Xenopus tropicalis: one gene and its partners. The protein of the gene in region 1 interacts with the protein of each later gene in a biochemical or structural test. Links are inferred from orthologs where the notes say so. Each region holds a gene or a part of one and is shown in the gene's direction. Other genes may lie near its edges.

Region 1 (3,659 bases):
ACTCAATTAGTCAACCTCATTAAGGACACCTGTCTTAACTAGTCACCTGTATAAAAGACACCTGTCCACAGAATCAATCACAAACTTGGTCATCAATTACAAGAAACGTTTGACCTCTGTGCTTGCAAACAAGGGTTTTTCCACTAAGTATTAAGTCTTTTTTTGTTAGAGGGTTCAAAAACTTATTTCACTCAATGAAATGCAAATCAGTTGCTATCTTTTATTTAAAGTTATTTTTTCGATTTTCCTTTTGATGTGCTATCTGCCACTGTTAAAATAAACCTACCATTGAAATGATACTGTTCTGAGACTTTTCATTTCTTTGTCATTGGACAAACTTACAAAATCAGTGAGGGGTCAAATAATTATTTCCTCCACTGTAGATAGTTTATGTAATCCTTCTCCATTGCCAGGACCTCACTCTTTTCTAACTTAATCCCTGCTTTAGTGATCAGACACCGTAAACATTTTAAAAAAATAGCCTTAAAACAGTTTCCTATAGGTAATATCCTAGTTACCAAGCTGGTTGATCAGTGCATTTAAGGGCGAAGACACACAGAGCTTCTAGTAGCAGCTACTAAAATAGACAATGCCGATCATTTACTGATAACTGTCTCAGTATTGTCTATGGCAGGGTATTTTCTGGGGTTTAGTAGCCATGAAAAAGTAGCAGCTACTAGTAGCTCTGTGTGTCTTCACCCTTATTGGACAGATATTAGCTGCTAATTTGGCCCTTGCAGAACAAGTTGGCAGTTTTTTGGCCATGCAGTGTTTAAACAGCCCGTCTGATAGCTAACTTAAAATTTACCAGATAGCTATCGGGACGTATTTGCATAGGCAGTAATTATAATCTGATGTTGGTCGGGGCCAAATGACCAGCAGACATTACATGCCTAGCTAGCTTTAGGTGACGTTTCAGTGCAAGTATATGGCAGCTTTGCAACTTTGGGAATTACTTAAAATCTCAAGGCTGGCAGTGGAATGCGGGATTGGTGGGTGGGGCACTTGGCATGCCAATTTTATGGCAAGTTTTACTTTTAGTTGTTTAAAAAGAAAATAAATGATACATCTTTCATTAACTGTGCAGAAACTCCTGATAAAACAAAGACTCCATAAACTGTTCCATATGTATTAGGGACATTATTCTTTGTTTTTTTAATGTAATGGAAATAGAGTTACATTTGGAAGTACTTAATTCCTGGGGTGCAGGTGATTCTTGGGAAATAATTGGGGCCAATGCAGCAGTCAGAAAAGCACTACCCATCCCAAAGGGGTTGTTCTTTGAGTTAACGTTTAGTATGATGTAGAGCGTAATATTCTGAGACAATTTGCAATTGGTCTTAATTTTTATTTGTAGTTTTTTAATGTTTTGAATTTCTGTTCAGCAGTTTTCCAGTTTGGGGTTTCAGCAGTTATCTGGTTGCCAGGGTGTAACTTACCTTAGCAACCAGGGAGGGTTTTGAATATGAGACTGATATATCAATAAGAGGGAACCTGAATAGTAAAAAAAGTAACAATAAATTGTAGCCTCACAGAGCACTAGTTCTCAGTAGTGGCTTCCGGGGTCAGTGACCCCCATTTAAAGCTGGAAAGTGTCAGAAGAAGGTGGCACATTATTCAAAAACTATCGACCAACTGCAAAGTTGCTTAGAATTGGCCAATCTATAGGGAATCTCTAAGGAATGTGTTGTGTGTAACCCACCTTGTGTTTTCAATGATAAATACGTGTGGCGAGAAACATGCCCCGGAATGACACTTTCTCCTGTTGCATTAGATTTCAGATGCTGAACTGGAAGAAGTGGTAAAGATCGGGCAAGCGAGTGAAATAGCTCGTCAGACGGCAGAGGAGTCGGGTATAACCAATTCCGCTTCCAGCACGTTACTGTCGGAATACAATGTCGCCAATAATAGTGTGGCCCTCAGGACGCCCAAGACACCAGCCGCGCAGGACCGCATACTGCAGGTACATGGGTGCTTCCACGCTGTGACGGGTGCAATGTTTCTAAATTATATTCAGTTCTGTTATTTTGTAGAATTTTTTTGTTCCTTGCCTTCTTTTTTTCTTTTTATTCTTCTGAACTCTTTTCCCTCCTTAAGATAAAACCACCTTTCTTCTGGTCTGAAGGGATGCACTTTTGTCCCATGGCTTTCACCAGGAGATAGTGTAATTTAATATACAGGTATGGGACCTGTTATCCTGAATGCTCGGGACCTGGGGTGTTCTGGATAAGGGATCTTTTCGTAATTTGGATCTCCATACCTTAAGTCTGCTAAAAAATCATTTAACCATTAAATAAACCCAATAGGGCTGTTCTGCCCCCAATAAGGGATAATTATATCTTAGTTGGGATCAAGTACAGGTACTGTTTTATTATTACAGAGAAAAGGGAATAATTTAACCATTAAACCCAATAGGGCTGTTCTGCCCCCAATAAGGGGTAATTATATCTTAGTTGGGATCAAGTACAGGTACTGTTTTATTATTACAGAGAAAAGGGAATCATTTAACCATTAAATAAACCCAATAGGGCTGTTCTGCCCCCAATAAGGGGTAATTATATCTTAGTTGGGATCAAGTACAGGTATTGTTGTATTATTACAGAGAAAAGGGAATCATTTAACCATGAAATAAACCCAATAGGGCTGTTCTGCCCCCAATAGGGGGTAATTATATCTTAGTTGGTATCAAGTACAGGTACTGTTTTATTATTACAGAGAAATTAAATATTTTTTAAAAATGTGAAATATTGTGAATGTGAATCTTTCTGGATAATGGGTTTCCGGATAATGGGTCCCATATTTGGTGTAAACCAGCACAATTGGCCAACCTTTGTTCAACAACTTGGACTTTACATACCCTATATTAACTTACTTTATCTTTTCTGGATTTTCTCTGTTTCACTAATGCCATTTTTTGATTACTGTGGACCAAAACTGTACTTCCAAGATATAATTCCCCTTTCCTGCTGTAAATCTATAGCCATTGCTAAAGTACTGCAAAGGTCCAGTCAGGCACACCCAGCCAGACCAGCATCCCCAGGGGAACTCACTCCCGCACTTTTGCTGGGTACCCAGACAGGTTGCCTGCAGGCTGTCCACACACACAGGAAATTGAGGACCTTCTGTCCAAAACACGACCAAACAGACAGAAAATTGAGGACCTTCTGTCCAAAACCCCACCAAACAGACAGGAAATTGAGGACCTTCTGTCCAAAACCCCACCAAACAGACAGGAAATTGGGGACTTTTTTTAAAAAATGGTCACATAAGTTTACAATGTGCGCACAGCGATAAAGGAATTAGAAGAAACTGACTGAAACTCATCTGCTACTAGTTCTGAGTTCTACAAAGCGTGCATTATAGCTCAAAGTGCCTTTCTCTGCACCCACCCCCTATTTTTGTACCTTACAGGAAGCGCAGAATCTGATGGCCCTCACCAATGTGGATACACCATTAAAGGGAGGTCTCAACACTCCTCTTCACGAAAGCGATTTTTCAGGAGTTACACCTCAAAGACAAGTGGTACAGACGCCCAACACTGTGCTGTCCACACCATTCAGGTATGAGGAACACGCTAGTGCCTTCTGTAAAATTGGGACATTTCATTTTTATATATTTTTATTCATATGCCTGGAATGTTCCCAGTGGGACGGCCTTTT
Region 2 (3,659 bases), on another chromosome or scaffold:
CTTTCCAAATCAGTTGAATTTTTGTCCATAAAATAAAACATGTTTCTGGTAGAAATCCTTCTATCATGAAAAATAGCATTTTTTCTTTTTTTTTTTTTTGTATTTCAAGCTCTAAATCTTGTTCCTGAAGTGGAAATACACAAAAACTCAGGTAGATTAGGAAAGCTCAGGTTCTCCTGAAAAAAACTATATATAGTTTGCCTACCTAAACTTAACCCTGCCCCCAGTAAAAGCCCCTAAATTGAGAGAGCACAGAAAGTTTACAAAACGTCTGGCACTGAGGGGAACTGAAATGTCAAATTCTGCTGGCACTTAAAGGGTTAACCCCATGGTTCCTGTGTCCCCCATAGGACTAGAGTGAAAAGGATTTTATGGTAAGTAAAGAAATCCCTTTTAACATGAGGCCATATACAAACTCAATTTTGTATTATTCTGTAAAAAATGCCTCTAATTACCACTGTGTATCTATTTAGGGTCTGCACAGTGCAAGTGTCCCTGGTATTTTGGCATTGGATTTGTGTCCAACTGACACAAACAAAACTCTTACTGGTAAGGATTTTACCCACTTTCTGCTTGTCATTAATGTCTTTAGTGGAAACACAGAGAGCAATATTTATTCTTGTTTTTGCTCTTTTTCTTTTTGTCTTGTAGGTGGGGCAGACAAAAGTGTTGTTGTGTTTGATGCACTATCGCAACAGATCCTTGCTACTCTTAAAGGTCATACCAAGAAAGTTACCAGTGTTGTTTTCCACCCATCTCAGGTATGCATTTTTGGCAAATTTAAGACATACATGAAACTTTCCTTCTATTGATTGCTTTACTTGTCCCAGAGGTTCAACTTAGCTTGAATCATTCCTGTGGCTTCAGCAGTTTTTTGGAGCTAACTATAATAAAATGTACCTGATTTAGTGTGTCTACTTTGTGGTCCTAAATGTACTGTTCTGCCAACACCTAATTCAGACCCCCAATAAAAATGTCCATGGTTATACAACTACATCCACATTGTTGGGGGAAAAGAAGAAAACACTTTAACTACTAGAGCAAAATAGACTTTAATAAGTTCAGGTCCAGCCTGGTACAAAACATTCCTTTTGGGGACAATACATATTTGTTTTGTTTTTTTCTAAAACGCATCAATTAATAGAGCTTCTCCAGCAGAATCCTGCATTGATATCCATTTTATTATGCCAACAAATTCTACATGAGGTGCCACAGCCATGTGACTTGACACTCTTTACTGTTGGAGTGATATTGCCCCCAGCAGCAGATAGAACAATGGGCAGGTAGCAAGATAGCAGTTAGTTGACACCTGTAGTAATCAGAGTAGCACTCCATGGTAAAAAATCCAAGTCTGCATTGTGACTCCTCCTCCAGTTACATGAAATAGGAGAAACATTATGTTATCTAAAAGCAGTTCTAATGTGTAGCATTGCACTGAGATGGCTACCTACACATCAATATTATAACTAAAAAAACAATTTATTGGCTTAAAAATAATTTATTTACATGGTAGAGTGAATTATTTGCTATGTAAACAGTGTAATTTAGAAATAAAAAATACACCATAAAACTCATGACCAGAATCCCTTTCAATATTTGAAGCTGTCAGGGACAGATTGGTTAACACTTCAAAGGTCCCTAAATCTCCCCACCCACTTAATTAACATTCTTTATGTTTTTATTGAGGGATGATGATTTTGTTCAGTGGTTTGTCAAATTAGTTTTCTGAAGAGATGTCATTGGTTTAAAACTTTTTTTAATTACACAAATGAGTAGAGTTTCTAGGCTTAGTTAGCAAATACAGGCATTCAGTCTACTTACATATTTTGTTTGTTTTCTGGATGGCTTTGAAAATCACTAGCTTATGAATAATATATATCATATAAAGCAGTGCTGTCCAACTGGCGGCCCGCGAACCCCCTCTGTGTGGCCCCCCACCTGTCTGGCTGCTTTGATGGCTTACTCTTGTGTAAGCTTTAAATGGTATCAGTACTGTGATTAACTGGCCCCTGCATTGCTCACACCTCAGATTCAGGCTGTAATCAGGCTGTATTGTTTAAATATGTAATCCCCTGTGTTGTTCACACCTTTTAATCTCTGCATTGTCCACCCCCTGCAGTGTTCACACCTCAGGCTCAGACTGTAATCACCCACATTGTTCCCCTGTTCACACCTCAGACAAGACTGTAGGAGCAGTAGAAACCCACAAATAACCCATGCACACTACAAAAAGAACATATACTGAGGTGGTACTGCAATTAAAAAGTTTTTTAATATATAGTTATTGTACAGACTGTAGGAGCAGTGCCAGCATTGTCACTGTATGCTGGCTGTGTGTGCCAGGGCAAGCAGAGTATGGCACACACAGGCAGCATAGGACAGGCAGAGTATGGCACACACAGGCAGCATAGGGCAGGCAGAGTATGGCACACACAGGCAGCATAGGGCAGGCAGAGTATGGCACACACAGGCAGGGTAGGGCAGGCAGAGTATGGCACACACAGGCAGGGTAGGGCAGGCAGAGTATGGCACACACAGGCCAAGTATGGCACAAACCAGCCAAGAATGGCGCACACAGTCAAAGTATGGCACACGCAGGCAGGGTAGGGAAGGCAGAGTATGGCACACTCCGGCAGGGTAGGGCAGGCAGAGTATGGCACACACAGGCACTCAGGCAGGGTAGGGCAGGCAGAGTATGGCACACACAGGCAGGGTAGGGAAGGCAGAGTATGGCACACTCAGGCAGGGTAGGGCAGGCAGAGTATGGCACACACACACACAGGCAGGGTAGGGAAGGCAGAGTATGGCACACACAGGCAGAGTAGGGAAGGCAGAGAATGGCAGGTTTTTGCTGTACTACAACTATTAATATGGGTATGGTTTCAAGTGGGTGCGGTTTCAAAAAGGGGAGTGGTCAAAACTGGCTTCCATTATCGGCCCTCCACCACGTAGGTCGGAAAAATTCCGGCCCTCGGTATCACAGAAGTTGGACAGCACTGATATAAAGAATAACAATAATATTATTACTCTGACCTAATATTTTTCTTGATCTGTAGCTGTGATTCATGGGTGTATTATGTTATTGGTGTTTATCCATATTTTGAACCTGTAAGGCTACCTTTGTAGTTAACAGATTTTGTACATAGTTAACTATTCACACACATTTTGCTGTATGGGACAGTTTTTTTTAAAAATTTCGTTTTACATAATTATGGTTGTCCATAAGACAGCTGATTATATATATATATATATATATATATATATATATATATATATATATATATATATATATATATATATATATATATATATATATATAGGTATATATATATATATATATATATATATATAGGTATATATAGGTATATATAGGTATATATAGGTATATATAGGTATATATATATATATATATATATATATATATATATACAGGTATAGGACCCGTTATCCAGAATACTCGGGACCAAGGGTATTCCGGATAAGGGGTCTTTCCGTAATTTAGGTCTCCATACCATAAGCCTACTAAAAAAATCAATAAACCATTAATTAAACCCAATAGGATTATTTTCCATCCAATAAGGATTATTTATATCTTAGTGTGTATATATATATATATATATATATATATATATATATATATATATATATATATATATATA
Region 3 (3,348 bases), on another chromosome or scaffold:
CTACTGCTGTCACTTACCTAACCTTAAGAACTGAAGCACAATATACTGTATATATAGAATATAAATGTGACAATATAAGGCTGATTAGTAATTTTCATTGCATGGCTGCTCTGAAACCAGTGCAATTTGCGTCAGACTGTAATAGCCCTATAAGCAAACCTCATTTTCTGCTTGATTTGTGATAACCCAAGCTAAGCTTCTCAGCAGCCACCCCAGAGCCCACTGAGCATGTGCAGTGTCGCTGACACTCCTAGCAGAAACCAAGATGGGGAGCTTCTGGGGCAACTGAAGGTCATTACAACTAGAGATGCTGAATCTTTAAACTGGTGCAATAAGTATATAAAATATTTGGCATTTGTAGCCTTATTCATTATTAGGGTTCAGTTCTCCTTTAAATATTTTTACTTCCATTTCCCTTGTTTTGCCACCTGTCCTTAATGGAGTATGTTGTGCTGGCAGGATATGGTGCGCCGAGGGGAGATTTTAGATGATGATGTCGAGGAGGAGTTTTACTTGCGAAGATTGGATGCCGGCCTCTTCCTGCTTCAGCTCCTGTGTTACGTCACAGCGGAGATCTGTAACAACAACCTGCCGCAGGTATGCCCATCCTGCAACCCACCAGCTCTTGTTCATCTTCAGGTTAACTTTTAGTACAGAATGGAATGTCCTATTCTTAGCAACTTTTCAGTTGGTCTTCATGTTTTATTTTGTATACCTTTCCGGCTTTCAAATGGGGGTCACTGGCCCCAGCAGCCAACAAAACTATTGCTCTGTGAGGCTACAATGTTATTGGTAGTGTTACATATCTTTCTGTTTAGTCCCTTCTCTAATTCTATCCCTGCCTCTCTTTCAAACCACTGCCTGGTTGCTAGGTTAAATTGGACCCTAGCAGCAAGATAGCTGCTGAACAAAAAAACTAAACAATTAAACAGGCAATAAAAAATAAAGACCAATTACAAATTGCCTCAGAATAGCACACTCTACATCATACTAAAAGTTAATTTAAAGGTGAGAAACCCTTTGAACAATCTGTGGTAGGACATTAGTTTAGGAATATTGGATAAACTTAGGAAAACAGTGAGAATAAGATACTTAGGAGGGAGCACCGTGTTTCGTATTGCAGTGATGCCTCCTCATCCAGCTACAAATTACACAGATATTTAAACCATCAGAATTTCACCATCCCTCAGTTTTAGTTTGCCAGTGCTCAAATGGCCTTCCAGCAGTGGTCCCCAAACCTTTATGGGGTGTAACCATCTTTATATGAAATGCAATAGCCTGCTTTATTAAGCAGGGGTGATGATTTTTATCATCTAAGGAAGAGATGGATGCATACGCTTGGCGTTGGGTAGCGGCACAATAATTGTTTAAGCAATAAGATATAGTAACTGTTGCTAATAGAGATATTGGCCTATGTTCTTCCCTTCTGTGGGCCGGTACTTAATTATTATTATCCCCTGTTGCCTAATCCATGCTAAATTGGCTTTGTTTGCATTCCTCCCATGGCTGCTTCCTACCTTCTCTCCTTGCTTGCAGTTCCACTTCTTACTTTTTGATCAACACGTTATGGGATTTCCTTTCCCTTTCTTGTCTCTTTCACTCACATTTTCTTGTGCTTTTAATTCCAGATTCGCCAGAGAGTGCTGCAAATTCTAAACATGAGGGGAAGCTCTGTGAAAATCATGAGACATATTCTAAAAGGTAAGTTTTAACTCAAGAGATCCACATCCCCATATGCTGTACTGGACTGTCTTTTCCCCATTTTACATTACTACTTCCTCTGTCAGATTTTAAGGGTTATTTATATAATATATGGAACAAAGGGCCAGGGGATTATATGATACGTTATATGATACGTGAGTGAGAGGCTGTAAAGTTTATATGGAACTGAGAGGGTGGGGTTATAGGGAAGAGGAAAATGGAGGCACCAAGGGGGCTGGTGTGAGTGTGGATAGGCGTGTAATATGGGGCAGTAGGAGGAGTTATAAGGAAGGGGGTAAGGGAACAATGGGGGAATTATAGCTATGGGTTATATGGAACAATGGGGGAGTTTTATGTAGCAATAGAGGAAAGTACAGGGAAGGGAGTGGGTGTACTGTGCTTAGCTGACAGTAAGGGATACATGGGGACTGTAAGAAATATGTGGGGACAACAAGGAATATATGGGACCTTCTAGGAAACTTCTTCTGCATCTGTTCCATTACTTTGCCAGTTTTTCTTATCGGGAGGGCTGTCACTTTTTTTTTTCTCCATATCTAATTTCCCTGCTTATTTTTACCCTGTAGAATACTCTGAGAGCATTGGTGATGGGAAGAGCGAAGAGTTCCGGGAAAGTGAGCAAAAGAGAATTCAGGAGCTGCTGGAGACGCTATAACACCTACCGGCCTCCTACAAATGCACCCTAAATACCTTGCCCCGAAGGATCTATATGTAAATAGAACTTTTAACATTTGGATTTGCCATTTTTTCCTGCAACCCACCCTCTGTCCATCTGCTACATTTTTTTTTTGTCTTTTGACGTGAGTCCAAGGTGATGCCATCCAAATGTCCATGTTTGGTATTTTTATATAAAGTACAGTAATAATAATTTGCATCTCCTTCTGTGTTTTAAAAAGATTGCTGAATCACATCTTTGGCTGGTAGGGGTTATGCATGGGAAATCACTCCCTGTAGCCGTAAGGCTTTAGCTGCTATTTACTGTGCCCTTGCCCAAAGGGCAGTGAGTAGGTTAACACTCCTGTCACAGTAAGTGAAGCCTTATGTCTGATCATATTTACGGCCTGTATTCCGATACTGTATGACATGCTTTTGAGTGTAAAGAATAAAGCACTGGCTCATTGGCTTGTTTCCCTGCCACTCAAATGCCAGACGCTGCTGTTTAAAAGATCCTGTTTGGCTTTCGGATCAATAACTGGCAGAGGCAGCCATCGAGCAGACACTTGAGACAGGCTGCACCTCTGGCGCTCGGATAAAACTCGGCAAGGATGCAATCGATATATCAGAATGGCTATTGTCAGCCGATAGGAGCGCTCCTAAAGATTCCCAGAACTGGAGGCTATTGATCTTATGGCAGGCGTCTGATAATTGCTCGCTGGGGACGGGGGGACAGGGGACATATAACCTCTGAAAATGCAGTTTCTAGGGAGATTCTAAGGGCTACGTCATGCCTGTGTCACTGGGACTTTTCTGTAAATTACTGATTTTTAGCTGCAAGTATATCTTCTCCCTTTAATCCTCCTTTCCTAACAAGCTGCCAAATGATAACTTGGTGCTGCATTTTGCGTACTAACAACTATAGACCGTATTAAATGGGGTCTCCTTTTGACTCCCACATAACATGGTTGATGG

What was found.
Region 2: the proteins of cdc5l (region 1) and prpf19 form a complex in vitro, tested with the Homo sapiens proteins (2 studies listed by BioGRID, with this or other methods). The link is inferred for Xenopus tropicalis from reciprocal best matches to the Homo sapiens genes CDC5L and PRPF19.
Region 3: the proteins of cdc5l (region 1) and ctnnbl1 form a complex in vitro, tested with the Homo sapiens proteins (3 studies listed by BioGRID and IntAct, with this or other methods). The link is inferred for Xenopus tropicalis from reciprocal best matches to the Homo sapiens genes CDC5L and CTNNBL1.

The regions. Positions count from the first base shown.
Region 1 is NC_030681.2:148,154,756-148,158,414, reverse strand, and holds part of cdc5l (cell division cycle 5-like protein), read left to right. Parts: intron 1-1,774; coding exon 1,775-1,963; intron 1,964-3,411; coding exon 3,412-3,560; intron 3,561-3,659.
Region 2 is NC_030683.2:60,615,627-60,619,285, reverse strand, and holds part of prpf19 (pre-mRNA-processing factor 19), read left to right. Parts: intron 1-473; coding exon 474-549; intron 550-651; coding exon 652-761; intron 762-3,659. UniProt on the Homo sapiens protein: Ubiquitin-protein ligase which is a core component of several complexes mainly involved pre-mRNA splicing and DNA repair. Required for pre-mRNA splicing as component of the spliceosome.
Region 3 is NC_030686.2:39,413,847-39,417,194, reverse strand, and holds the end of ctnnbl1 (beta-catenin-like protein 1), read left to right. Parts: intron 1-459; coding exon 460-597; intron 598-1,628; coding exon 1,629-1,701; intron 1,702-2,285; coding exon 2,286-2,374; 3' UTR 2,375-2,840; downstream 2,841-3,348. UniProt on the Homo sapiens protein: Component of the PRP19-CDC5L complex that forms an integral part of the spliceosome and is required for activating pre-mRNA splicing.